Linked DNA regions of Saccharomyces cerevisiae S288C. The gene in region 1 interacts genetically with each later gene. Each region holds a gene or a part of one and is shown in the gene's direction. Other genes may lie near its edges. The genes, in order: SPO73, KIP3, ERV41 and SPO1.

Region 1 (7,237 bases):
ACTGCATCTTCGAAGCTTTTGTACTTATTCTGGCAAAGGAAATTGTATATAGGTTCCAGATGAGCAAACAGTGATTTATTATTCAAAAATCCATTTTCGAAAGGCGCAACCCATTTGTATATATGTTTTGAGTTTTCCCGAGGATTTATTTTTAAATTTTTTTCACTCTTGAGAGCACCTACATCTTCGACATCTCCTTTCTTTCTTGAAAGTGCCCTCTTCCACAACGTAGGATTCCTGGATTGAATTAAAGCAAAACACTGTCATAGATAATATTCGAGGAGATTACACCTCTTACTAAAAGTTAGTAAAGAGAAAATAGGTTAAGGATGTGACAATTTCACGTACGATTATCCAGTCAACTTCCGATGTTTCCTTTTGTTCCATATCTTCCAGTTTGCCTCTACTCATGTCCTTACTCTTCTAAAAGATTATTTAATGAAACTGTTTCACAACTACAAGATGTTTGTTATGTTTTCTTTTACAAGTCGGAAACATTTAGCCGCCCAGCAATATATATGACTCCGAAAGAAAATGAAAGGAAATACATACATAGTAAAATAAATCGTTTAAACATAAATAATCGTACAGAGGAAAACATTAAGGAAGGAGAGTCAAACTAATGTACTGGGAATTTGGATCTCCCATAAGAAGTATGCGCAATACTTTTATTCATCATATAGACTGGAGCTGCGTATCATTTCTTCAATCATTTTCAGAAACCCGTTAACATCACTATCCTTGTTTTGAAGGCTTTGATAACTATTATTACCACCATTAATTGTGCATTCTTGCATGTGCAACCTCGAAATTTTCTTCATTTTTTGAACCAATTTTTCGTAATTTTCAATTTTTTTCTTCATCATTGTGTTTTCTTTGCTTATTTGGTCAAATTCCCTTTGAAGTTGTAATTGTGACATTTTCTTTCTCTGTCGACACTTGGAAGCGGCAATTCTGTTTCGTTCTAGTAGCCTTGCACGCTTCCAAGCTTTAGCACCGTCTTTCAAGCCTGCAGTATTGTTCTCTATTTTTTGGGGTCTAGCTTCCTGCTTTATTTGGAAGGTTGCTGTAGTGTGCATAGAGGAGAAGGGCGCGGTATGTACGTCTTTCTCACTATTAATATTGTTTTTCAGTGCAGAAGTGGCATCCTTGTATTGTGGTTTTGAGTTGGCATGTGTTAAATTGACATCAGGGCATTTCGATTCGTATGGAAGGCTGCTTGAAATATTCAACTCGGCATTTTGGCAGGAATTATTAACAGTGTGGTGATTAACGCCATGGGAAATTGAAGAATGGACGGATTGATTTTCGATATTATGATCATTAATGTTTTGGCAGGAAGAAGAAGAGGAAACGGAAGAATTAGAGGCTGGAGTACATGGATGCACATTCAATTGAGCGTTTTTCCATGCCTTAGTTTGCATTTGAGCTTGTAATCGGAGTTGCATGTTGATGTAAGCCTGATTCATTGTGGAATCGCCAGATGGGATAGAAGGCGTGGCAGAAGGAATGTCACAAGTGGCTGCTACTGCGGGTATGTTAAGCTTTATATTGCTATCATACGGGGTCATTGCAGCGTAGATATTCTTGCTACCTGTTTGAGGTGCAGCTTCGGGTATGACTGTAGCTTGTTCGTGTGGTTGTGGCACGTTTTGCAATTCGTTCGAGCTAAAGCTTGGGTATATGGCTGCGCTTGGATTTGCCACCTGTTGAGGATTGGGATTCTGTTGCGCCTTAGACGATAGGATCGGAGGCTGACAGTTGTAAAGATTTTCAACCGTTTCTAAGTCTTCGCCTAATTGACTAATCTGACCATTGGAGATAGATATGCGTCTTTTGTACACGGGCTGATCAAACGCTGGTAAAGAACTTTGAAAAATGGGAGGGTTGGTAATGGGAAGATGGCTGATGTCGACGCCAAAGGGTTGAAACATTGGACCCAGGTTTTCTTGCACGCTACGGTCATGCAAACTGTTTTGGTGATGAAAATTGTAGGCAGAATCCACAAGACCAGGACCCGATGGTTGTTTGTATATAAGCTCCTTGTTTGAAGATAGAAAATCTGTATATAAGAGTGGGTTCTGCCTTCCATCTAGGAAAGAATCTGGACTTGTAGCAAAATTATGCTTATAGTCCATACTTTATTTGGTTCCTTAGTCGTTACCTGGTGTTATTCCAGTACTATTAATATAACTCAGTACAATTAGCTGCCGTGAAAAAAAAAAAATAATAAGAATACAGTTTCTGCGCTTTTAGTCGGTAAGCACTCAGATTGAGAGATCTAGATTTACTATATTTTAATAATAACCAGTTAAAGCAGATTTTGAAGATGAACTAACATAAAAAAAATTGATGAATTATGTAACATAATCTTCTGTACCACCAGGGTAAATCGCCAAAGAATATCTGCATCTAAGAACAAAAGAAAATGGTGCCCTAAATATCTTTCAGATGAAAAACTAATTATATATCACTACTAAAAAAAGCCAGAAAAAGAAAAAAAGTAAAATAGAAAATAGAAAATAGAAAATAGAAAAATAGAAATTAAAATTAAGAGCATTTTAAAATTAAGTCTACAAAGTAATACTTGGCATATTGCTTAACTCCTCACGCAGAGCCTTAGCGTACCACTATTTTATCTGATACCACAAAAAGCTGCGCTTTGATGGCCCAACGGGGATATAATCGCGCCACTGCTACTCATGTGCTGCAAACTAACAGTGCCAGCAGAAGCGAGCATTGAAAAACTAAACTTTGCCTTGTTCTGCTTACTTCATGCAGAGGTACAGCTTCGATGTCCTAAGGTTGAACATCATCTTGCTTCGATTTCGGTAGTAATCATTTTGCCTGCACGCCATTGTATGAATCTCGTGCCACTCCCTTTTTAACTCCGAGATACAACTTTCCGTGGGGAAAAGTACCGTAGTATTGTAATTTCGAGAGCATCTTTACGGTAATTGCCCCTCCACACCCAGACGTTACACAACCCTTAGTAAACAGCTGCGGAAAAAAAGTGTGCCTACGCACTGTACGACTCCTGATTGATTCCTTCATTAGCACTGACTGGCTTACGGTGCACATAAGTTATTAAGAGCAGTTTAATTCAGTTGCTGAATAGTCACGTTGATGAGCACGAATACCTGAAACACCAACGGTAATGAATCAATTGGCCTAGCGCATCGTTGTGTGCTTGGGTGTGCCGCACAATGGCAACCAAATACTGCTCGTTCCTGCACTTCGAAAGAAAAGCAGCCAAAAGAAAACGCGTTTTCCTTTGCGAGCGCTGGTTTGTTCCTCAGTTTGATAGAGGCGTTCAATTGGCAATTTGGGCACTAACACCGATGATAACAAGATATCTTGACTTTGACCTCTGATATTGAGGCGTTCCAACCAATAAGAGGGGCTGACGGTTGAAAATAAGGGTAAAAGAGAGCTATTCGGGTTGGGTCGCAGATTAACTTAGAAAACATGTACATGCAAATGTTGTTTTTTACGTACAGAAAGAGGCTGATGGAACCAAAGGAAGCAATAATTTGCACCTTGATATTTTGCGCTTTCTGCTTTTGAAACCTTATTATATGCCTTTACATATACTGTCACGCGACATTTTCACCTTCTACAGTGTTTAATGAAAATCTGGCTTGTGTGCATTATCTTTTTTGTGAAAGTTTATCTCCGCTTAAACAAAGCGATTGAATCTTGTCTACGTAATTGGGCTCGTGGGACCAAAAGGCTACTATTTTCCAGGAAATTGAAGACTTTGCAATCGTAACAAGGTTTCTTTCATCGTTAAAATACAATCATACATAGAGATATATGGGCAAAAACCATTTCTTGAAGGATTTCTCTGCTTTACCGGAGGACGTACTCATAGAAAACGAGAGAGGCATAACTTTACTTGGTTACCCACTATTTTCTCCCAAGATTTTACTGCCTCACGTTGACCCACCACAATTTCAAAGACTAAACACTGAAAATGGCTCGTTAATTGCCCTGTCGAAAAATACTATATCGAACTTCATAGAACTGTATCCTATCGATCTGAGTACTGAACGCACTGCAGGCAGTAGCAGTTCACAGATGACAAAGTGGTTCGTACTGATGGATTACAAGGAAAAGTACGATATTGACGATCAAGGATGGTGTTATAGCTGGAATTTCAATAACTCTAGGTGGAAATCGAAAAATGGCTTGGTGAGAAGAAGGGTCTGGGTAAGACTACCTACGACCAGTCATGGATTAGATTAGTAATAGTTTACGCTAATATTAAATTGTTTAACAAACTAAGTAGTCAAAAAAAAGAAAAAAAAAAAAAAAAAAAAGAAAAGGTGACATTATGCAGAACATATTTTATCGATCCGCTTATGTGCACACAGTTTGTCCAGCTAGGCTAGAATATTATTTATTATTACCATTATTATTATATTATTATTATTATTATCATCATCATGAACCTGATGATCCGAATTGTGAAGCCCACTTTTCGTACTTCACTAATCCGTCCTGGGATACAGAGGGCTTGATATACACTAAACTGTTCTTAAAATCCACAAGGCCTATGGGTCTTATCATCTCCCTCTCTGTTTCTAATAACTTATCACCCAGATCTCGTAGTGGGCCCATGGCAGCATCCTTCGCTAAAGACGTTATATCACTTCCTGAATAGCCCTCAGTAATCTTTACCAGTTCATCAAAATCTGATTCGGTTAACGTGTGCTTTTGATGGGAAAGAAGCTTCTTAAATTGAACGTGTCTGGTCTGGTCCTCTGGTAATGGGATATATTGTCTTCTCACAAATCTTCTCCTTGCAGCCTCATCAATAGACCATGGTAAGTTTGTCGCGGCAAGTACCAGTACCCTTGTATCATCTTCGTCGCCATTGGTGTCAGAATTGTTAGTGTTACTTTTGTTTGAACCAGCCGCTGCGCTGGACAAGGATGACCACTGAACAAGAAATTCATTCTTTATCCTTCGGCTTGACTCATTTTCATTTTCGTTATTCCTACTACCCATGATAGAGTCAATTTCATCAACAAATATTATAGAAGGTGACAATTTTTTGGCAATTGCAAATAGTGCCCTCACTAATTTTTCACTTTCACCCAAGTATTTAGATGTCAAACTGGAAGCACTAATAGAGAAAAAGGTGGAGTGCGACTCTGTAGCTACAGCTCTCGCTAGCATTGTTTTACCTGTACCTGGTGGTCCAAATAAGAGCATCCCCCTGACTGGTTCACGTAACCCCCTGAATAAGTCTGGTCTCAAAAACGGATAGACAACTGCTTCCTTCAAAGAATATTTTGCACTTTCTAAACCAGCAATATCATCCCAATGAACTTCATCTCCGTGCACTACGATTTCGGCAAAAATTTGCTTTGCAGCTTGCCTATCTACACCTTGTAAACTATCAATAATTTCATCTTCTAAAATCTCCCTCAGGACTTTCTTGTCTATTTCAGGCTCTTCTCTTTGCTCATTTAGGGAAGTGGCATGTTCAGTGGCATCTTCTGTTCCAACATCTTCTATTTTTGGAGAACCGATTTTTTTTTGTGCTGGTATTTTTCGATTCGTTTTACTCATAGACGTGGTTTGATTTTTCGATGGCTTCTTATTCTGGGATGCACCATGCGAGTATGGTTTTGAGTTACTTACAGGTCTGGAAGGATGGCTACTCGTTTTCTTCGAACTGGAATTTGGGACTTTCGCCGTTTTGGATTTCAAAATGGGGTGACTCTTCTTCGTAGTGTTTAATGCGGGGTTACTCGCAACCTTTTTGCTGTTCAGAACTCTCTTAGCAGCCATTGCAGCCGTTTTGGGTTTTTGAATTACTGAATTTGGAACAGTCAGAGAAGAGGTCGGAGACGATGCATTGGATTTGATGATTGGTTTTGTATTACTTTTTGATCTTGTAATAAATGTTGGCGTTGATTTAGTGATAAGAGTGGGCGTTGATTTGGTACCCTTTAAGTATGGTACGTGATTATTCTTCATTAATTTTGATATTTGAGGATTCCTAATCTTTGATGAATCCATAGTAGTAGAAGTTTCTAAACTATGTGGCTTTAGAGCGCCAGTGCTGGACGCTCTATCGACATTTAATAAAGGAGGTGGAGGTAATGAAGGAAGAGCAGGGGCGGTAGTCGGCAGGGACTGTATGCATGATCCGGGAACATTTTCTGAAGAACTTACACTCTTATTACTGGACGTAGAAGAAGTAACAGACAAGTCAGACATTTGCTGTTGAATTGCTTCTAACGTTTTTATACGTCGTCTTTCCTCTTTTTCTTCTTCTTCTTCTTCTACGTCGACTTCGGAGAAATTATCATAGTAATCGGACACATCAAACTCGAAACCATCACTTTCTTCTTCATCAAAAACGTTGTGTCCTTTTAAAATGCCGACATCGTGATCATCCTCGTCATTAGTCAAATCTATCAATATTGGCTCTGAGATATATTTATCTGAGTACAGTTCAGTTTCCTTCTTAAGTGGAGGATCATTGTGCTCAATAGGGTTCTTGTGCTGTCTGCTTGCATTGTTGGATAAAGGCTTAGAAGGTACAAAATTTACTCTAATGTTCTCCGCATCTTCTCCGCGTTTTATCGATGTGCTGTTACCATATGATGATAGTGAGGGGTTGGAGTATGCGGTTTTATAGCCGCATGCATTTCTATTTCTTAATGTTTTCATCATTCTTCCGGGAACCATTTGGAATACAGGAGGTGGTTCAGTAGACCTTGTGAAAGATGAGCTATGATTAGTGTATGTTTTGGATGACGGCATATCATTCCTGGGAGCAGGCTCTTCTCGGACCAATTTTTTGACTCTTTTCAAATGCATAACGCTCTTGTGGTACAATTCTCGAATACCGTTCTGTAAACTAACTTCATCTTTCGTGTATGATTGAGTATTTGGGTAGTTATGCTCTATCAATGTCTGTTTGAATAGTACATCAGTGGTAAGCGCTTTCCATCCTTGCAATGCTTCTTTATATCGTTTTTTCTCTTCTAGGTTCAAGTAATATATTGTCTCATTGGCAATTCTACTGTAAAGTTCTGTAAAGTCGGTTAACGGTTGTTGAGGTCTTCTCCGTATCTTGGTTAATCTCGTTAAAATATGATGGCTTCTTTGTGAATCCATAGTGTCACAGTGCGATATAATCAATCCTGGTAAAACCGCACGAGTGAAAGGGAAAGAAAAATTGCGTTTGTTAGCTGCAATAAATGTAAAAAGACTA
Region 2 (6,494 bases), on another chromosome or scaffold:
ATTGTTCTTCAAGCTCGGGTATCGGTGTTTGGACCGGTGTGGACGTAACTGTTTCAATAGCAGTACTATCATCAACAGCCTGTTCTCCTTGTGATTGTAGGTTCGATGGTGTGCGGGTCTTTTTGCATTTGATCTTTCTTCTCCTTGGTTTGGCATTGTCGTCGTTGCTGTTACTCCTATCGAAAAGTCGAGACTGAATCTTGGTTATCGTAGCCAAATCGTACTGGCTGGAATCTAACACTGTTTTAGGTAATAGATTGTGGGAACAGTAGAATGGCTTTACCAATTGTTTTGATGATACGGTTGATGACTTTGGTTGTGGAAATGATTGCGAAGAGTAGTAATTGTTTAAAGAGGGCATCCTTGATATAAATCTGTACAAGTTTTGTCTTTCCAAGCAACCAGGTATAGCGGAAAGAGAATTCATCACAGTGGAATGTAGTGACAGTGTTGACCTCGACGACACAATGCTTGAAAGACGTAGCATGTTTATTGGAGAAAGCTCTTGAAAATCTGATCCGTCCAAGATTACATTCCTAGACATTGTAGTTTGTTGATGATGATGCTCTCTTTTACCAGGGATGGTACTGGTGCTCTCGCCGCGATTGGTGAACCAGTTCTGTGACGTGTTGAAGATCAAAGAAGGAAGAACATCCTTGAACACTACATGCATGGACTCTTTTAGCCTTCTCTCAATGGTGCTTTGGAGAATTTTTACAGAACAATCAAACTTAAAATCCAAATCAACGTCATTAAAGGATATCCCAATTCCAGGGTTCTTTACAAAAATATTCGTGATGGCTTCTAGCTCGATGGAACTGAACGTCATAGTTATAGGAATTGTGAACGATCCATTATTGATGAGCTGGGGCATGGTAAAGCTGGGTGTATCCTGTTCGTTAATCAATAAAAGATTCGACTCTATGACTGTCTGTATCCGCAACATAGCATCCTTACATGAAATCTTGCAAATCCCCTTGGCCAGAGACTTGGGCTGCGTGATAATGTCTAGGTCCAGAATTTCTAGCTGTGGTATTGTAGGAAAATCCACCTTCTGTACCTTAATTCCGCTTTTCAAGATATCTAATTTCTTTTTAGACGGTGAGTTCAAAGCCGTAGATAACTTTTCCCGTATTCGTTCATTGAAAGAGTTATCACCAAACACAGCTTCGTTGAATCTAAATGACATGACGATGCTGAAGTTTCTTGCAGTTGTGTTTTTTTTGTTATAATTGTTACTGTTTCTATGTTTTACGAATCTTCCATGACTCTTCTAATTGGTCTCTTTTTACTACAAGGCTTCATGGCCCTTTTTCAAACCTAATTTATAAGTTCTTTGCCCTATGCTTAAAACAGTTTAGCCCTATTTAATATAGTACAAAAAAGGAAAAACCTAATTGAAAAAAGCTATTCACCCTAGGTCATTACTACTTTTTCCCTTAGCTAGCCGTGTTTTTAGTTTTTGTTTTGTTTATTTTACCTGTATTATGCCTTGTTTGATGACTTTAGTATGGGTTTGGTTTGTCTTATCCTTGGATACAAAAGGACCAGATACATTCACGTCTGGTCGGTAGAACATCGGTATCCAGTATAGTGTTCAGCTGTTCCTATAGAGACAAAATTTATAATCTGCGTGTAACAAATATCTGCAGGTTAAAAAAGTCCAGATCAGTGTTTCGAAGCTGTTGATTTTTCTTTTTTTTTTTTTATATTAAAATTTTCATATTCCCTGATTGCATCGTTTATCTGATTATCATTTCATTGCATTCTTTAACTACTTGAGTTTTCTTTCCAGCTGTATACTATTGACACTAACATGAACGTGCCTGAAACAAGACAATCCTCCATAGTCGTAGCTATAAGAGTAAGGCCCTTTACGTCAATGGAAAAAACAAGATTGGTCAATGAAGCTAGTGGTGCAGAAGCTAACTTTCCCGGTTTGGGGGATTCGTCGTTAATATTACCCATGAGTAATAACTCCGACTCCGATATAGACATAGACGCTGAAGAAGGTTCTACGCGGAGCAAAAGAAATAGCTTGCTGAGGAGAAAAGTAATTAGACCGGAGGGTATACGTAAAATTGTGGATTGTGTGGATGATAGAATGCTCATATTCGACCCAGCTGATAGAAACCCATTGAACAAAGTGAGTGATCAGGTCCTGAACTCGATGCGTGCAAGGGCCACTAAGGCCACTGCGTCCTCTATCAATAACAGCAATGCTACGAACAAATTTTCTTCGCAACGTCGAAGGCACGGTGGCGAAATCAAGTTTGTATTTGATAAATTGTTTGATGAAACCTCTTCCCAAGCCCGTGTATACAAAGAGACCACCAGCCCGCTCCTAGATTCTGTTTTAGATGGATTCAACAGTACCGTATTTGCTTACGGTGCTACTGGTTGTGGCAAGACATATACTGTGAGTGGCACACCTTCACAGCCGGGGATCATATTTCTAGCCATGGAGGAACTATTCAATAAAATTACAGACCTGAAGGACGAAAAAGACTTCGAGATTTCACTGTCTTACTTGGAAATATACAATGAAAGAATCAGAGACCTTTTGAAACCAGAGACACCATCTAAAAGATTGGTCATTAGAGAAGATACGCAGAACCACATCAAAGTGGCGAATTTGTCGTATCACCACCCAAATACGGTAGAAGATGTGATGGACTTAGTTGTCCAGGGAAACATAAACAGGACTACGTCACCGACGGAAGCAAACGAAGTATCTTCACGATCTCATGCAGTGCTGCAAATACACATCATGCAGACAAATAAGCTTGTAGACTTGACCTCGCAACATACATTTGCTACACTTTCAATAATCGATCTAGCTGGGAGCGAAAGAGCCGCCGCAACAAGAAACCGTGGTATAAGATTACACGAAGGTGCGAATATAAATAGATCCCTACTAGCACTGGGCAATTGCATTAACGCGTTGTGCTTGAATGATGGCAGCAGAAGCTGTCATATTCCATACAGGGATTCCAAGTTAACTAGGCTGTTGAAATTTTCACTGGGTGGCAATTGCAAAACAGTCATGATTGTTTGCATATCGCCCAGCAGTTCACATTATGATGAGACATTGAATACTTTGAAATATGCAAATCGTGCTAAAGAAATAAAGACCAAAATAATCAGAAATCAGCAGTCTTTGAGTAGACACGTTGGATCTTATTTGAAAATGATTACGGAACAAAAGCGACAAATCGAAGAGTTACGCGAACGTGAAGAGAAGATGATTTCTTTGAAGCTAACGAAATACAAACTAAACAAAGAAAAGATCCAGTTAGCCATTAACGAGTGCGTCAATCGTGTTCAGCAAACGTATGCAGGAGTGGAAACGTATCAAGTAGCCAAGACCTTGAAATCATTAATACTTTGTAAAAGGCGGTTTTTGCAAATGGTCAAGCTAGAAGTGGATAATTTGATACTATTATTTGAACGGGAGGAAAGTACAGCCGCCGAGATGCAGCCGGTGATTAGTAATTGCCGAATGATCAGTGGTCAGCTTTATAACAAAATACACGAGTTAGAAATGAAATTTGATGAAACCGACACTCTGAGTTCCGTCATTCATCAGGTACATTCCATTGACTTGAACAAGTTAAGAGAGATGGAGGACTGGGATGAAACTTACGACCTGGTGTACTTGGAGTCGTGTTTAAATCAAATATCAGAATTACAAAGAAACGAAATCTTGGTTAATTCCTCCATAATGACAGAAAAATTAATGTCAGATCCGGGTTTGAACTCCCGATTTAAATTTCTATCAAAGTGGCTGATGAATAGGACACCTAACATTGAATCCATAATTCAAGACCTGGTTCATATCGACGAGGAGTTTGAATCTTTTGCCAGAACTTTTATCGCCAATCCCGATAGCAATTTTACAAACACAAATATAAATATAATAAACACGACGGCAGCTGACTTGGCTGTTCCCGCTGAGACCCTACAACGGCAAAATTTTTCCCAAAAAAAAGTAAAGTGGACGAGTCCCGACCTTAGTCCCAGCCCTATGATTGAACCACAACCGGAGCTAGAACCAGAACTACACCAAGATCAAGACGCCATTGCAAGTGAAGTGGACGTAAGTATGCAAGATACCACATTCAATGAGCAGGGGCCCTCGACCCCCTCCGCTCCGACTACAGCGGTTCCAAGAAGGAAGATGCGCTCCTCCCTTCTTACTCATCAAAGTCTACTGGCCACTGCCAGGAAATAACATACATATCCTACGTAAACTATCGAATATAACTTCTTTCCGCCAGCATTAAACGCATTTATGTTGATTAATTCCGGGTTACGGGAAAAATTTTTCTTTAATTTCTTTTTTTTGAATTTATTTGGCACGAGAAAAGGTTCAAAGTGAATAATTGCTTTTAGTCATTAGACACATTACCTACTTTCTAAGAGATTCTAAAAGAAACTAAGCACCACAAATCATTGATCTTTTAAGAAAAACGCACAAGGATCATATACTAGATTCTCGTTCTCGTTTTTTCTTCCTTTTTTTTTTCTCTAAAGCCTTTTACTGGGTTAATTTCCTTTATTGACCCAAATTAAAAGAAAACGTTTCTCAGGAGACTCTTTTAAGCAAAATTTAGCAAATTTGTGTTTGCTGTTGTTTTTACAGAGACTGCATTACTTGAAGGTTTGCCTTTAAGTCTTCGAGTCGTTTTTTTTTATTAACTTTAATCCTTTTTCTGTGTGTTTGTGTATATTCAGTGGGGTTATTTTACAGTATTCGAAGAGACTTCGTTTCACACATTTAAACCAGCTTTATTAGCGTTTAGCTTATACACTACAAGGAATTTTTTTTTTCTTTAACATTATTAAGACAGTTATTGAGTTAATTCGTCTTCAGCCCCCCTCCCCCCAACAAACCCCCCTTCATATAGAAATGGCTAATACTTTCAAGTATTATCCTGAAACGATGGGTAATTCTAGTGGTTATCCAATTAGTTTGCCTTTTCCGAAAGGTTCGGCTACTTCTGCTGTTAATGTTGCTAGGCAACTGCCTAAATATTTAGGTCATGTTCCCTCGCAATCAGTTCATACTCAGTTGCCATCCATGGCTTCTTTAGGTTACTTCAATCAGCCAAGTTCTACTTACTATGCTCCTCCTGCACCACTTCAACAGCACCAGCAACCACCTATCCTTCCCCCTCCGGGCCTAATGTACACTAGTAACAATAACAGCAACGTTATTCCTCCTCCTGTTCAAATGATTCGGGATGGACAACAACAACCACAACAATCTAACCAAGTAAATGGGGGCGTCAGTGAGAACTTGGACTACGATATTTCTATAATGTCAAAATTTATCATGGAAAATGCCTTTGTTGCCTTCAACGCGAACTATAGTACTGATGACCAGACCACTGATCTTTTTTTCAAGGGCATATCTTCTGTGTTGAATGCCACGAGATTGCCTTCAGCTACTATTTTTTTGGCTATAGATTATCTTTTCAAGTATATCAATAAATTATCTAATGGGATACATTCAATTGGTGGCAATTCGATCAATATCATTTATCAAAATACTATGATTGCGTTCATATTAGCAAACAAGTTCAACGATGACAAAACTTTCACCAATAACTCATGGTCACAGGCAACAGGAATACTGATAAATGTTATCAATGATTTCGAGAGACAATGGTTGAGAATATTTAACTGGGAATTGTATGATAGTGCTTTTCTTTATTTTGAGTTCGTCAAGAATTTTGAGATTTTCAAGCAAAATCAACTCAAACCTGCTGTAGCGGTTCCTACGTTATTATCTCCAATTGTCAACGTTGGTGATACGAGAAACGTAAATTTCAACTTGAAGCCTACTTCCACAAACAACCTATTATCTCCAGTTTCCAATTATGAAACCCCCATGCTGATGCCGCATAACATGTTTTCATCACCATCTTATCAGAGTAACTCAAGGTCTGAATTTTCTAGTATGAATGGTTATTATAACTATTACAACTATAATCAGCCAAGATTGAATTACTATCAACAATTCCCCAATATATATTCTTCACCAATTTCGGAAACTCAGTTTGATTACGACTTCTACAATTTCAGTAGTCAACAACAACAGCAACAACAAAAACAACACTCACTTTTACCTGCCGCTCCACAATTACCTCCCCCTCACGTCCATAATCAGTCTTACGGTCATCATCTTGGCTGGAAGTCAATGGATGACACAATAAATCATTCAAGATTTGAGCGAAACTACTTTCCGTATTCGGCAGTGTATTAGTGAAAACTTTTTTTTCCTTATTTTTTCTTTGATCCCATCGAATTACTTTCTCTTTTGCCCAGGATCATCTTTCTAATCTATCATTTTATTATTTTCTCTCATGAGAAAACAGAATTTCGAAACAGATATAATAAAAAAATTGAAAAATTTGAAAAAAAAAAATCTAGAAACATATTTTCCTAAAATGAAAATCGGAAGCTAACAAAATTTTTGAAAAACGAAA
Region 3 (7,770 bases), on another chromosome or scaffold:
ATCAATGATATTTTTTAGCTCTTCGTGCGTATACCCAGTGAACATAATTCTGGTAAACCCAATTCTTGAAGTAATCTTATTGCCTAGCTGACGTTCTGGTAAGTCCATTGTATTGGCTACTGCAATGACAATAAGTTTGGCATTTTCGTAAGTAGTCCAATTGAAAAAATTGTACATAATATCTTGAGATTTCGTTACCATGGCATCGAGTTCGTCCAACAAGACTACAATGGTTTTCTTCTTATTTTTTGGAACTCTTTTAAAGTAAAACTCTAGTGACTCCATTGAAGCTGCCCATGTTAACCTTTCTCCTGACACTTTGTTCCATAAAGTTTCGTAACAGTCTGTGGGTTTTACCATTTTCAATCCATTTATTTCCACATAAAGAAAGTCTGGTATTTCTCGTTGTGCAGAAGACGATAGTAGTTCCTTTACGACTTCCCTTACGGTTAAAGTTTTCCCTACACCAGGCGTACCAGCCACGTATATAGTAGTAGCGGAGTCGGACTCAATGGCACTATATGCACTTAAATAAATTGAGGCGAATTCATTCTCCCTAGCCGGTAAATAATCTTGGAAATTTGCAGACTTCAATATTTCTTCTTTGACATACGAAGAGTTCAACTGTTTTTTGACTTTAGAAAAAATTGTTTCTACAATCTGATGCTTTTGGGTTGTTTTTAATTTGTTTTCAAACCTTGATGCCATCAATTCCGAAGAATTTCCGTAAAATTCAGGTAATGAAGTTAAATCTGGTATTGCAGCTATAGATTTAAATCTTTTCGAAAACGGGGTATATTTCTTTTTCGCCCTAGCAACATTCTTTTTTGTAAATTTCCTAATCACAGGAGTATTATTTGCACGGCATGAAGATATCAATAGCATCTGACGCGGTTTACTAGGATCTTTAGGTTTACGACCTCTTTTTTTGGGGGGAGGTTGTACAGAAGCGTCAATATCATCTTTACCTAGTTTTATCTTACGGCCTCTTTTCCTTGGTGAATTTGTATGCCTAGCTTCTTTCTCTTCTTCGTCTTCGTCTTCTTCTTCGTCTTCTTCTTCCTCAAGCTCATCTGCGGATATTTCACCGCTGTCCATATCCTCGCTAACGTCGATATCTGACGGACTTTCATAATCAGATGATTCATCTTCATTACCGTCCTCATTATCCGTTATATCTGTAGCTCTTGTTTCTGCGTCTGAAATTTGTGCCGTTTGAGTAGCCTTATCTTTCTTTTGAGGACCTCTTTTGATCTCTTTCTTCTTTGATGGAAGTGTTAAATCTTTCAAATATTCCTGGGCTTCCCTTGGCTCCACTTTCTTTATGTAAGCTTTGACATCCTCAATATTAATGTCCACAAATTTCTCCCCAGTCGGCTCACAAATATAACGAACTGTAAAGTCTCTTTCTGGATCGACATTTCCTTTCAATACTTCCCATTTGCTTCCATCCATTACGTTGGCAACCCTGATAAAGTTAAATAGCTGCAATTCGGCTAATTCTGCAGTGAGATACAGTTCATTTTTATTTGCAGTTTCAGAAAACAGTTTATTGTAATAATTTAAAGGACGATTCAAAATGTTAGCGTCAGGATTAAACTGCCTATAATGAGCTAAAGGATTGACTTCAAACCATCGTAAATAGGTGAGAGCCCAGAGTTCGACAACATTATTTAATGTATTAAGTCTCAACTCCTGGATCATATAAACGGAGTAAGTCCCAGCGGCTTCGTTGTGCATGACTACACTATCACCACGACCTAGTTTAATTCCATCAGAACTTCTCTTTAAGTAATGTTCAGTTTTTGCACCTCTTCGGCGTAATCTCTTCTGACCTCCATCGATTATATTTCCCTGCTCATCAGTTGTTATTATCTCCCAACCCTGTAAATCCTTCAACGTTTTTGCCATCTTATCTACTCTATTGTGGTTTTTGTAATGAGTATTAATCAATAGGGAATGAGTTCCTGCTTCTGGAAACTTTTAGGCTGAATTTGCCGCCTATGCAGTTTTCTTTCCCTTTGCGCAACTTCATCTCTTCTCAATGTTGTTGTTTTTCTATGATTTTCGATCTGGCCGTGTCAACGTTAATAAAAAATAAGTCGAGGAAGAGAGTAGTTACATATGTAGTGGTGTTCGTTGGTGCAATATTTGTTGATATAACGATGAGACAGGTCACCAAAGAATTTCAAATATTTGAGGTTTATATCTTTTCTAATTTGGCGCCAAGTTATTATCCTGTGATACCCAGTAAGACAAAAAATGCCCCATAGCAGTCCTTATCTTAATACTGACCATTATGAAGGGGCTTACATTGTACAAACATATTTGTAATAGAATGTACCGGATATTTAAAATAACCCAAGCATCAATTGTGTAGTATTCTTAATTTTTTTTCTTGGTAAATTTTTGGGAGAACATTTTTTTGTGTCATCTTAGGGGAAATTATAAACCATTATACACTCCATACCATGCACTTACTTAAATTCTATGGACACATCCATCAATTAAAAGATAAAACTAATAAATAGAAGCATGTTATATATGAATATATATATTCTTTCTGTCATAATATAAAAGGGCGAGCATGTTATTCCCTAAACGTCTGATTGTGTGGGGTGTTCTATTGATTTTAAGTTTATCACAATTTGTCCTCTACCTGCCAGCCACAACATGTACGAACTCTAAGGGACTTAGGTTATGCGCTCCACAGTTTACTATAACTGTGATTGGAGGATCCAGTACTGCAAATGAGTTTATTGCAAGTGTAAGAGAATTTCTGCGATTGATTTCGTACCTGACAATTGACATGGGTTGGTCGAATGAATTCACTGATCCAAGTGTGTATGAGGATGAAAATTTGGTGGACACATTTCAGCCTGATAAGGTTTTTGAGCTCAATTATTTTGGATTTTGTAAACGGAGTAATAAAAGCAAAGTTTATTGTACCTCTAATGAGAATTATGGCATGGACGTACTTGAAGTACTTGTCAGAGACGTCGGGATTCAATTAGGTAACATTTCCACTACACGATCGAATGAAACCAAAAAATTCGGAGACTCTCTCGTATTGACCTACCGTTTGGCATTGACATCTATTCGTGATTTTTTGAAACACGACAAGCACACAGGAAATGCCCTATCAAAGGCTTTGATTGGCAGTCCTGATCCAAATGTAAAAGGCGTGTCACCAACAAAAAACTATCTGAAAGGCGTCAACCTGGCATTTATACTGATGATGTTCAACGGCATGGTTTTTTACTTTGCAGTGTTGGAAATAATAGTCGGATTCCTCAGTATCTGCGTAGTGTCAGCCTTTGGGGGAGCACTTAGTGTTGGGAAACGACACCGCTTATTTCCTATGCTTTTGAAGTCATCAAGTTCAATATTAGTTGTTATTGCTACATTGACAATATTATGTAACATCGTATATTTGATTGCACTGAAAACATTAGAACCTGAAGAGGTAACAGACGTAGGATCTGACAACGCTGCTGTACACACTACAGGCTGGGAACTGTTAAAAGTAAACGTGGGAAGTGGGTTCATTATGGGGCTCGCCAGGTATGCCATCCAGTGGGTCCTATTGGTACTCGCATTTCTTGCAGCAAATCATTACAAAGCTAAGCCCAAAAAGTCTGATAAGTATACAGAAGACACATCTAACTCCCCTTCTCCAGACTTGATGGAGAAGTAATTCACCACAGAACTTTTTTTTCAAATGACAGTAAATATGTAAACATATACACAGCCTTTCAGTATATTAAGTATTTTTGCATAACGTCCTTTTTTCCCGCTCGGTCAAGGCTTTGAAAAGATATTATCAATGTTCTATTCTTACTGAGAAAAGCGTTCCTCCAAAATGCTTTTGCTGTAACGTACAGGCAGAGACTTCAGGAGTATATAATGGCAGGATTGAAGACATTTGATGCGTTTCGTATGTTATATGGATTTTTCTGAAGTAGCCCGCTTCAGCATATTTTATTTTTGCTTTTGCTTTTTCACTAACAATGGAAATTTAACTTTACAGCAAAAACTGAAGAACAGTACAAGAAGAAATCCACCAAGGGTGGCTTAACATCTTTGTTGACATATCTGTTTCTGTTGTTTATAGCATGGACCGAGTTTGGTGAATACTTCGGTGGTTATATTGACCAGCAGTACGTAGTGGACAGTCAAGTTAGAGATACCGTTCAAATTAATATGGATATATACGTCAACACGAAATGTGATTGGTTGCAAATCAACGTCAGAGACCAAACAATGGATCGGAAACTTGTATTAGAGGAATTGCAATTGGAAGAGATGCCATTCTTTATTCCTTATGACACAAAAGTCAATGATATCAATGAAATTATTACGCCGGAATTGGATGAAATCTTAGGGGAAGCTATCCCAGCAGAATTTAGAGAAAAACTAGATACTAGGTCATTTTTTGATGAAAGTGATCCTAACAAGGCACATCTTCCGGAATTCAATGGGTGCCATGTATTTGGGTCCATTCCGGTAAATAGAGTTAGTGGCGAATTGCAGATTACAGCGAAGAGTTTAGGTTACGTGGCTTCACGCAAAGCACCACTGGAAGAATTAAAATTTAATCATGTTATTAATGAGTTCTCTTTTGGTGATTTCTATCCATATATTGATAACCCATTGGATAACACTGCACAGTTTAATCAGGATGAACCTTTAACTACTTACGTCTATTACACATCTGTTGTGCCCACTCTTTTCAAGAAATTGGGGGCAGAAGTGGATACTAATCAATATTCTGTTAACGATTACCGCTATTTGTACAAAGATGTCGCTGCTAAAGGTGATAAAATGCCGGGCATCTTCTTCAAATACAATTTCGAACCATTATCCATAGTAGTTTCTGATGTTCGTTTAAGCTTTATACAGTTTTTGGTCAGATTAGTGGCAATCTGCTCATTTTTGGTCTACTGTGCTTCGTGGATTTTCACACTACTGGATATGGCTCTTATCACCATCATGGGACCTAAGTGGTCCTTGCGTTATCAGCCAGATGATAAAACTAAGGGTATTTTAGATAGGTAGATATGTAAAAGAAAAGAGAATGCAGTATACCCAAGATAACGTTTCATTTTCATCTGTATAAATTTCATGACAATAGATTATAAGAAAAAGTGTGAGACTGAAGGCAGAGCGATCGCACTCAAGTTTCTGTGCCAGGCATACCTTCAAACAATCGTCCATAACAGCCTGAATATGCTTCTCTAAAATGTTCATAAGGGTCCTCAGGATAAAGTAATACTCCGCATATAAAACAGAACAGCGTCCCGCATACTTCGCATTTCATTTTATTGCAACCTTCACTTCTTTCTACAACTACCTTACACTTTGGACATCGCTGCAAATTCGAACCCTCTTTTTTAATCGCTAAATCTAACATTTTTTCAGCAAGGTAATCATTGACTTCAAGTTCTAATACTCTTCTCCCATATTTTGCCTCCAGTTTCCGCTTTCTCTCATATGAAGTAACGGTATCATCTAGATATTCCTCAATAATATCGGTCGATAACGAAACTTTCTTGCCACATTTATTGTTGTAACCATGCCAGGCATGCAAGCAGTCAAAGCAAAATACAAAATGACATTTTTGACACTGAATCATCGCATCATCGAGGTCTTCTTTTGTGCACCAACTATCACATCTTCGACAAGTCACACAAGCATACGGACAATATTTTGAGAGTCTTGTAGCCGCCTGGTTGTAGAACATTTTTTCGTATCTTTCACATAGCTCTGTATCGATAACCTCTTTTAAGAAGGACACTGGAATCAAAGGTGTAAACAATGCCTTCAGCATTTTTTTATAGCTCTTGAAATCTTCTAGTTTTAATTCTTTGTATTCGCATTGTGGACATCTTACACTGGATATTCGGTTTTCCTGAATCATTGCAGTGAAATAAGATTTGGCGCATCCTCTGCAAAGATAGTGTTCTACATTCGCATTTTCACATGGCAATTTGATCATTCTAACACCCTTTTCCATTTCCATACAAATACAACAATGGTAGTTAGATCTGCTCACTTTTTGGAGGGTGGCTTCCTCACTTATCTGCTTAAACAAGTCATACTGATCCTGTGTCAGGCACTTTCTTATTCCATTAGGGAATAGTAATATAGCTGTATCATCTATAAGAAACCCAAAGATGAGGATAAGGATGGAGGTAAACGAATCCGCGAACTCAATACTCATATCTACAGTTTCTTCAACGAGTCTCAGCGCTTTGTCAATTAACATCTTCTTTTCATCTGTTGATATCCATAAGGATTTGATATCCATAACAACACACCGTCGAATGTCCGGATAATGACAGCTATATATGGTGAACTCCACGCATTCATTAGATAAGTTTGAAAGTAACATATGTTGCTCGCCGAACTCAATATTTACATCGGCCAATAGTGATATCTTGAACAGTAACTTTCCGTTAATTCTTTGAGGGAATTCACCTTCCTCCTCTACTTTTACCGATTTCATTTCCAGTTCTGGGTACATATCTCTTAATATTTCCAAATCATTTTCAAACTGAGTCAAAGCCATTTTACTCCCTGGTCTTTCATCAGTTATATTAGTTTTCTGTAATTCGTTATTCTACACCATGACATAACTTACTGGTGACTAAATGAGAAAAGCAAAGTCCCTTTCTCTTGCTTGTTATTTATTTTTGAACCCTTTACACTATTTGTCTTTTTTTCATCACCCAATCGAAAAGTTGAAAGTATTTTTCAAGCATTGAAAGGGTAGAGGAGATTAACAAAACATAAATATTTTGCAAAACAAAACCAATTTCAAATAAATGTATAGAATAACACCAGTAATTAAGAGGTGGTGTCTTACACTCACCATGTCATGATAATATCAATTGGCAAAATATATTAGTTAGTTTTTACACAATATCAATAAATTTAACTTATACAGTCTAAAATTATTACTATTCTACCTTAGGCTTCTTCGAAGGCCTTTCTTCGTCGCTACCCCCCTCAGCATCACTTAAAGCCGCATCTGAATCAAACTCTTCTGCAACTTCGTCTGCGTCATTATCAGAGCTGACCTGAAAATCCTCATCTACTGATTCATCATCTTCACCAGCGGAACCCATATTAATATCCTCTTCGTCACTGTCTGAACCTAAAGCGGTTTGTAACCTTTCTTGTACCTCTCTATCTTCATTCTTCACCCTTAGGTTTTTAGACTTTAGGAATTGTTCCAATAATTGCTGCTCTTCCTTACTGATGTTGGCAAAAGTGGTAGAACCTCTATTTGAACGCAGTACCACTTCCAAATCAAACGTCCTCGATGACGTAGAAGTTTGTCCTGCTCTTGAAATGTTTACCATGCTAACATCACTGAATGGTATGTACAAAGTTGGCTTAGTTAAAAAGAAGAAAGCGTTATCTAATGGATACAAATAACCTTCGTTTGCTTTGAAAGAACATGAAACTGCACACTGATCATATTTGGATTTATATTCTCCAGGAACAATGACTCTACGGTCAGTCAGACCTTTTAATACATGACTTAAAACTATATGAGTTTTAGCATCATATTGTTTTTTCAATTTATCCTTATAATTTTCCTCATAATCTTCATCTTCTAGATTCAATTGCACTTCTGTTTCCTCATCTTTCTGAAATTGTAAGACAAGAAAGGGGTAGGTGGTCTGTCCTTGACGTAAAGGAGGTTCAATTGCCAAAACCAATAAGTGATGGATATCATCTGCCTTTGGTAACGAAACAATT
Region 4 (8,662 bases), on another chromosome or scaffold:
TTTCAATCTAATAGAGAAGGGTAGATAGTGTGGTGCAAAAAAAGAGCCTTTTAAACCAAAAATAAATAAAAAAAAGGAATCACAAAATGTCAGATTCACAACAATCAATCACCGTTCTAGAAGAGCTTTTCCGAAAGTTGGAAACTGCTACTTCAGAAACAAGAGAGGGTATTTCTTCGGAGCTTTCCTCATTTTTAAACGGGAACATCATCGAGCATGACGTTCCCGAAGTTTTTTTTGATGAATTTCAAAAAGCTATCCAGAGTAAACAAAAGGCGCTCAACACGCTGGGTGCGGTGGCTTACATAGCAAATGAAACTAATCTATCACCTTCTGTTGAACCGTACATAGTTGCGACGGTCCCTTCTGTATGCAGTAAAGCTGGTAGTAAAGATAATGATGTTCAACTTGCGGCAACAAAGGCCCTCAAAGCCATCGCTAGTGCTGTTAACCCGGTTGCCGTTAAAGCACTCTTACCTCATTTGATTCATTCGCTGGAAACTAGCAACAAGTGGAAAGAGAAGGTTGCTGTTCTCGAAGTAATCTCTGTATTGGTAGATGCCGCTAAAGAACAGATTGCCTTAAGAATGCCGGAACTAATTCCCGTTCTTTCGGAATCCATGTGGGACACTAAGAAAGGAGTTAAGGAGGCGGCAACGACAACCATCACAAAGGCAACTGAAACTGTTGATAATAAGGATATTGAGAGATTTATTCCAAAATTAATCGAATGTATTGCAAATCCAAATGAGGTGCCTGAAACCGTTCATCTCTTGGGTGCAACTACTTTTGTAGCCGAAGTAACTCCAGCGACTTTGTCTATTATGGTTCCTTTATTGAGCAGAGGTTTAGCCGAGAGAGAAACCTCTATAAAACGTAAAGCTGCGGTTATTATCGATAATATGTGTAAATTGGTTGAAGACCCGCAAGTTGTTGCTCCATTCTTAGGTAAACTACTACCAGGGCTAAAGAACAATTTTGCTACTATTGCTGATCCTGAAGCGCGTGAAGTTACATTAAAAGCTTTAAAAACCCTGAGACGTGTGGGTAATGTCGGGGAAGATGATGTGTTACCAGAAATATCGCATGCTGGTGATGTTTCCACAACACTGGGCGTCATCAAGGAATTACTGGAACCTGAAAAAGTGGCCCCAAGGTTCACCATTGTGGTTGAGTACATAGCCGCGATTGCCGCAAATCTAATTGATGAAAGGATCATTGATCAGCAAACGTGGTTTACACATGTTACACCTTATATGACTATATTTTTACATGAGAAAACTGCAAAGGAAATACTAGACGATTTCAGGAAAAGGGCAGTAGATAATATTCCAGTTGGACCGAATTTCCAAGACGAAGAGGATGAGGGTGAAGATTTGTGTAATTGTGAATTTTCCTTGGCATATGGTGCCAAAATATTACTAAACAAGACTCAATTGAGGTTGAAGCGAGGTAGGAGATATGGTCTATGTGGTCCTAATGGTGCCGGAAAATCCACTCTAATGCGATCCATTGCTAATGGCCAAGTTGACGGGTTCCCCACTCAGGATGAATGTCGCACTGTTTATGTGGAACACGATATCGATAATACACATTCGGACATGTCCGTTTTAGATTTTGTATATTCCGGCAATGTAGGAACTAAGGATGTTATTACCTCGAAATTAAAGGAGTTTGGGTTCAGCGATGAAATGATAGAAATGCCAATTGCATCCCTATCTGGAGGTTGGAAAATGAAATTAGCTTTGGCGAGGGCTGTTCTGAAGGACGCTGACATTCTACTATTGGATGAACCAACAAATCATCTAGACACTGTTAATGTGGAGTGGCTGGTAAATTATTTGAATACTTGCGGAATTACATCGGTGATTGTCTCTCATGATTCTGGTTTTCTGGATAAGGTTTGTCAATACATCATACATTATGAGGGTCTTAAATTAAGAAAGTACAAGGGTAATTTATCAGAATTTGTTCAAAAATGTCCTACGGCACAATCATACTATGAATTAGGTGCCTCTGACCTTGAATTTCAATTCCCAACTCCTGGTTATCTAGAAGGTGTCAAAACGAAGCAAAAGGCAATTGTTAAAGTAAGTAATATGACTTTTCAATATCCAGGGACAACTAAACCACAAGTCTCAGATGTTACTTTCCAGTGTTCTCTATCCTCAAGGATTGCAGTTATCGGACCTAATGGGGCTGGTAAGTCCACTTTAATTAATGTTCTTACTGGTGAACTGTTACCAACCAGCGGTGAAGTATATACACACGAGAATTGTCGTATAGCGTATATTAAGCAGCACGCTTTTGCACACATTGAATCGCACTTAGACAAAACTCCATCCGAATACATTCAATGGAGGTTCCAAACTGGTGAGGATAGGGAAACAATGGATAGAGCAAATAGGCAAATAAATGAAAATGACGCAGAGGCCATGAATAAAATATTTAAAATTGAAGGGACCCCAAGAAGGGTTGCAGGAATCCATTCAAGAAGGAAATTTAAAAACACGTATGAGTACGAATGTTCGTTTTTGTTAGGTGAGAACATTGGTATGAAATCTGAAAGATGGGTTCCAATGATGTCTGTCGACAATGCTTGGCTACCAAGGGGCGAATTGATTGAATCCCATTCTAAAATGGTTGCTGAAATTGATATGAAGGAAGCTTTGGCTTCTGGTCAATTCAGGGCTTTAACAAGAAAAGAGATTGAATTACATTGCGCCATGTTGGGGTTGGATTCAGAATTAGTCTCACATTCAAGAATTAGAGGTTTATCGGGTGGGCAAAAGGTTAAATTGGTACTCGCTGCCTGCACGTGGCAAAGACCCCATTTGATTGTTTTAGATGAACCTACGAATTACTTGGACAGAGATTCATTGGGTGCTCTTTCAAAAGCATTAAAAGCTTTTGAAGGTGGTGTCATTATTATTACGCATTCGGCAGAATTTACTAAGAATCTGACTGACGAAGTTTGGGCGGTTAAGGATGGGAAAATGACACCCTCTGGCCATAATTGGGTTGCAGGACAAGGTGCTGGCCCAAGAATTGAGAAAAAAGAAGAAGAGGGTGATAAATTTGATGCTATGGGTAACAAGATTAATAGTGGGAAGAAAAAAAGCAAACTCTCTTCTGCAGAATTGAGAAAGAAAAAGAAGGAGAGAATGAAGAAGAAAAAAGAGATGGGTGATGAATACGTTTCTTCTGATGAAGATTTTTAATTTGAAGTCGAGTACATCTCTTTCAGTGAGTAACTTATATATTTTTGAAGTTAACATCCTTATTCTTTTTTTATATTTTTATTTTTTTTATGTTTATTTTCTATTACTGATTTTCACAAAGAAAGGTAAAAAAAAACATACTTCAGCGGCTATACAACCATATTTAAGTAAATGCACTCAGAGAAAGTATACAAGTAAAAAACCTAAGTAAAGACATAAATATCCCAAAATAATGCAAAAACTCCTCTTTGTCTTTTCTGTGTTATTGACAGTAGTACTAGCAACAGCACCATTTCAGGTACAATGTCCTAGCTCTCCACTTATTAGGGAGGCCAAAGTAAGTTAAACTCTTTGCCACTTTAACAAATATGGGCCAAAACTAACCGAATATACCAAAACTTCGTATTCCTTTGTTTATTAGCATGAACTCTGTCCAGAAGAAACCTTGTATCTGAAGAAAAAAAAAATTAAAACGAAGAATAAACTGATTCAGTTTTTAAAATCCTTGACAGAGGCAAAGTTTAGTTCGAAGTTTTATAAACGCGTGTTGAAAGATCCTCCAAAAATTGGGATTGCTATATCTGGCGGCGGGTACAGATCCATGTTAGTAGGTACCGGATTTATTTCCCAAATGAACGATTATGGCCTTTTTGAATATTCGGATTATATTGCTGGATTATCAGGCGGAAGTTGGATCTTGATGGATTTGGTAGTTCAAAATTTTGAAGTAAAATCCCTGCTACAAGAGTGGGACCTTGAAGAGGATCTTTTATTAGGCATACCGGAATTCGATATTTCCGAAGAAGAAATTGTTACCAATGCAAAAAAGGAGTATAATGATAATGATTTGAAGATGAAGAAGCGTCAGGGGGGTTCTCTGATTACAAGCTCTTCAAATTTTTATGAACAAATAGAGGAGATCATGAATTCCATAGAAGAAATCCCAGAAGACTATATGATAACGAAGAGAAACTTGAATCCATTAGCAAGACTAAAAAAAATATTCTTTCCTAACAACACTTTCACTGGAACTGATGCGAAGATTGAAACCTTTAAAAAAGTGCTAGACTTTTACAAAAGTTTGCATTTGAAAATTAAGCCTAAAAAAATGGAGGGTTTCCAAATATCGTTCACCGATTATTGGGGTAAAGCAATCGTTCAAAGACTAAAAAAAAATTTCGATGACGATCCCAACCATTCCTTTTCGTTTTCGAAGCTTGTAAACTCGTCTAAAAAATTTAAGGAATGCAGTGTGCCGATCCCAATATTCGTTGCAAATTGCAAAAATGGACTTCTTTCAAACGTTATATTTGAATTTACGCCCTTTGAATTTGGATCTTGGGAAAATATCCTCAGACTTTTCGTCAAGTTGCCCTATTTGGGCTCAAAAATTGTTTCTGGAAAGGCCGAGAAGTGTATTAATAACTTTGATGATCTAGGTTTTATTACTGCGACGTCTTCTTCAATATTCAACAATGTGCTCATCTTCATCTGGAATTTGGCTTCTCAGTCCTCCAGAGAAGCAATGAAAGCTTTGAATATGGTTATGGGAATTTTTGGCCTAGGTAAAGAGGAAATATTTAGTATTTCGAAAGACTCCTCGAGATTAGAGACAGACTATGCCGTATATCAACCCAATCCCTTTTATCTTTATCCTGAAAAAGACAATGTCCTAACTAACAAAAATCATTTATACCTTGTAGACGGCGGAGAAGACGGCGAGAATATTCCACTCAGAACATTGGTGATTCCTGAAAGGGAACTAGATGTAATTTTTGTTCTGGATTCTAGTTCGGATATTGACAACTATCCAAACGGCTCCAAGTTAAAAAGGATATTCGAAAAATTAGATGAAGAGAACGTTCATTACCAATTTCCGAACAATGTAAAAACATTCACTCACCCCATTGTTATAGGATGCAATGCTACCAAAAGAACTGGACATGATTCATTTTTGCCAATTATAATTTATCATGCCAATGCGAATCATGGAAACGCATCTAATACGTCGACATTCAAAATAACTTACAATCAGTCTGAAGTTAGCAGTATGTTACCCACTGGAAGGGGAGTGTTTAGCAATGATTATGACCTTTATTATAAAAATTGCTTAGGCTGTATATTAACCAAAAGAACAATGGACAGGCTCCCAAGAAAAAAGAAATTTTCGCCATTTTGCTTACAATGCTTTAAAGACTACTGTTACTCATAAGAGAGTAGACTTTTTCTGTGAAATTTAATGAGTTTTTGTTCACCTTTTTTACTTTTCTTCTATGCCATATGGTTAAATAAAACATGGTTCAAACGCGATTCTTTTTTATTATCTATGTCTTTATTATGTAGTCTTCACTATAATAACCGTTAATGAGCGACATAGTTGCATCAGTTTTTAAGGCCAATTTGATTCAGAACCTTTTCAAGTTCTTCACTTTCCATCTTATCCGAAGACGCGATCTGGTGGCATCTAATACTATGCTTCTCGAATATCGTTTCATCAATTTCAATTTCACCATTTTTTAGGTAAACAATATCAGTAATAAAATCTTGCCATTCAAAGTCATCATTCTCTGAATGGACACCCTTAGATTGCCTATAGCCTGCTATTGCCCTACTCATAGAATCTATGATCATTTGAACGTAGTGTAAACCGTCTAAACCAAAAACCTCTCTATCATATTTATTATTTATGAGCAAAACTTTTTTCGTATTATTAGATTCCAAAATTACTTCAGCAAGATTACCAAGAATAAGGATTGGGAGTAAACTTGTCATTAAAGAACCGATAGAATAAACGACCATGTCAGCTTTTTTCACCTTGGAAATAGCTCTTGGATTTCCCATTGGTTTTATCTCTTCGCCATATGGGTTTATATACAATATCCTATGTACCGGAGCAGGTAGATTCTGTGATTCATCAAGCTTGTCAAAATGCAACTGGGAGTTTTTCAGTTCTGGAAGAATATAGATAGGATTGGCATACTCCTCTTCCGCTTCTTCTTCCTCATCGTCGAGGAGAATTTTCAAATGGTCGTCATAAGAGCCAAGTAAATGAATAAATTTAGCTGAATGTGCTATGCTATTATCTTTAGGAACAGATTTCGAGGGATGCGATATTTGTGATTGGCCAGTTATCATCTCACCATTCGTCAACAAAGCCGAGATATGATGTGTGTGATTGGTATTTATACATGGAATAACATGAACTAGAGGACTGCACCTTCCTATCCTCATCATTAGTTCAATAGATGCGTCTAGAGAACCTAAAAACAATCTAGCACCAGTTAAGAAAAAATTTCCAATGGATGCACTCTCAAACTGAAATGGATTCGAGTGTTTGATTTTTTTCAAGAGTTCTGCTTGCATATGGATAATAAAAGAACGACACATTTCCTTAACTTCTATCGAAATATTTTTCCATATGGGATGCGAACCTTCCACTATTTCATTCCATTCTTTCTTAGCTAATAACTTATCATTAGGTAGCCTATGGCCAAACAACTCGACAAGCTGTTCATCTTGAAGTAGTCTCACTATTCTAGATCTGATATCACCAATTGCTGGGCCACCAACTATTCGTAGAATTTCACTTGTGGACCCGCCATTATCTGATATTGGCAATATATACGTCAGCTCATGTCCTTTTAAGATAGAAATATTAGAAAAGCAAGGAGTCAATGAATTTGTGGCAGTCCCACCGGAGCACACAACGACGTTCATCTAGTAAACTATCTCACCACACTCTGCTATTTTGTCCCCTTATTACCTCGAGGGAACAAAAGATTCCGTTTCCTCTCTTTCATAGTCCGCCTAAATAGCTTAAGAAATAAACCCAAACATCACACATTAGCGTTCTTTAGGAAATACGAAACAGGTTAATACAACAGTAGTAACTTTCCACATAATATCTAAGCATTACACGCTGAAAAAAACTCTTTATTGGATATCAACAACCCAACACATTGTACGACATATTCTTTTATCGTTCTACTATGGTACCCTGTTCAAATCTCTTTTTCTAAAATGAGCGAAATTTTCGAAAATTATCGCATAATTTTTCATCATCTTAAATTAAAAAAATACAGTGTCCTCTATTGTTTATCTCAACAGAACGCACACATTCTTGAAACTTGCTCACATAACATAAGCTGGAGTGACATAGCATTTATATATATACAAGGGAAATGGTCAAAGCTGTTATTTTTACCGATTTCGACGGTACCGTTACTTTGGAAGATTCTAACGATTATCTGACCGATACTTTAGGTTTCGGTAAGGAAAAAAGATTAAAGGTCTTCGAAGGCGTGTTAGATGATACTAAGTCTTTTAGGCAAGGTTTCATGGAAATGCTGGAATCCATCCACACCCCTTTCCCTGAGTGTATCAAGATCTTAGAAAAGAAAATTCGATTGGATCCTGGTTTCAAGGATACATTCGAATGGGCTCAAGAAAATGATGTCCCTGTCATCGTTGTTTCCAGCGGAATGAAACCAATTATCAAGGTTTTATTGACCAGATTAGTTGGACAAGAGTCTATTCACAAAATTGACATTGTTTCCAATGAAGTGGAAATCGATGCACATGATCAATGGAAAATCATCTATAAGGATGAAAGTCCCTTCGGACATGACAAATCCAGAAGTATCGATGCTTATAAAAAGAAATTTGAATCTACCTTGAAAGCAGGTGAACAAAGACCCGTTTACTTTTACTGTGGTGACGGTGTTTCTGATCTAAGTGCTGCAAAAGAATGTGATTTGCTATTTGCCAAAAGAGGTAAAGATTTGGTCACTTATTGTAAAAAACAAAACGTCCCATTCCATGAATTCGATACCTTCAAAGACATCTTGGCTAGCATGAAACAAGTTCTGGCTGGTGAAAAGACAGTCGCTGAATTGATGGAAAATTAGTGCAAGACTCTTACGAAATATTAAAGTTTAATACCGTGTAACTGCCTCTTACATATGTATGCATATATACGTACGTACTATATTTTTCTTGTATATCTTTTTTATTGTCTGAGAGAAAGAACATCAAAAAATAAAGGAAGATCCTCCTCGGATTTAGCATGCTTAATGCCGAATCTTTAATACAAAACGAATGATATTTCAAGTATACTAATTAGAAATCAATCAAACATACCAAAAGGGACAGTAAAGAGAAAAGCAGGAGCTCTCTTTTAGGGGAAAAGTAAAATGTGATTAGTATTTCGTTGCGTGTACTAGTCAACTCTTCTTGTCATTCTTAAATTTACATTAATTACCCCAATTTTGCATCTTCGTATATAAGAGTGTTCCCCTTATAAGCTTTCTCCTGCACATACCTGCAGTAAACACAAGCAACACTTTAGAGATAGTTGTCCAAGTTAAAATGAGTAAAATTAAAGTTGTTCATCCCATCGTGGAAATGGACGGTGATGAGCAGACAAGAGTTATTTGGAAACT

The links.
Region 2: mutations in SPO73 (region 1) and KIP3 together harm fitness more than expected from each alone (negative genetic interaction), as found in Saccharomyces cerevisiae (2 studies listed by BioGRID).
Region 3: mutations in SPO73 (region 1) and ERV41 together harm fitness more than expected from each alone (negative genetic interaction), as found in Saccharomyces cerevisiae (2 studies listed by BioGRID).
Region 4: of SPO73 (region 1) and SPO1, changing one suppresses a phenotype caused by changing the other (phenotypic suppression), as found in Saccharomyces cerevisiae (2 studies listed by BioGRID).

The regions. Positions count from the first base shown.
Region 1 is NC_001137.3:239,364-246,600, forward strand, and holds SPO73 (Spo73p), read left to right. Parts: upstream 1-3,816; coding exon 3,817-4,248; downstream 4,249-7,237. Other genes in the region: MEI4 (Mei4p), read right to left, coding at 1-260, 349-411; ACA1 (Aca1p), read right to left, coding at 669-2,138; putative AAA family ATPase SAP1, read right to left, coding at 4,447-7,140. UniProt on the Saccharomyces cerevisiae protein: Required for spore wall assembly and ascus formation. Involved in the formation and elongation of prospore membranes.
Region 2 is NC_001139.9:83,069-89,562, forward strand, and holds KIP3 (tubulin-dependent ATPase KIP3), read left to right. Parts: upstream 1-1,816; coding exon 1,817-4,234; downstream 4,235-6,494. Other genes in the region: ERMES complex subunit MDM34, read right to left, coding at 1-1,189; CLG1 (Clg1p), read left to right, coding at 4,913-6,271.
Region 3 is NC_001145.3:136,351-144,120, reverse strand, and holds ERV41 (Erv41p), read left to right. Parts: upstream 1-3,906; coding exon 3,907-3,937; intron 3,938-4,030; coding exon 4,031-5,058; downstream 5,059-7,770. Other genes in the region: ORC1 (origin recognition complex subunit 1), read right to left, coding at 1-1,911; SMA2 (Sma2p), read left to right, coding at 2,588-3,697; ITT1 (RBR-type E3 ubiquitin transferase), read right to left, coding at 5,177-6,571; FACT complex subunit POB3, read right to left, coding at 6,963-7,770. UniProt on the Saccharomyces cerevisiae protein: Constituent of COPII-coated endoplasmic reticulum-derived transport vesicles. Required for efficient transport of a subset of secretory proteins to the Golgi. The C-terminal Ile-Leu motif is required for exit from the endoplasmic reticulum.
Region 4 is NC_001146.8:606,233-614,894, forward strand, and holds SPO1 (putative carboxylic ester hydrolase), read left to right. Parts: upstream 1-3,453; coding exon 3,454-3,558; intron 3,559-3,642; coding exon 3,643-5,433; downstream 5,434-8,662. Other genes in the region: HEF3 (translation elongation factor EF-3), read left to right, coding at 87-3,221; YNL011C (uncharacterized protein), read right to left, coding at 5,604-6,938; PYP1 (putative phosphoric monoester hydrolase), read left to right, coding at 7,403-8,128; isocitrate dehydrogenase (NADP(+)) IDP3, read left to right, coding at 8,589-8,662. UniProt on the Saccharomyces cerevisiae protein: Regulates spindle pole duplication in meiosis I, but not in mitosis. Required for meiosis I, meiosis II chromosome segregation and spore formation. Binds phosphatidylinositol (4)P mono- and polyphosphates.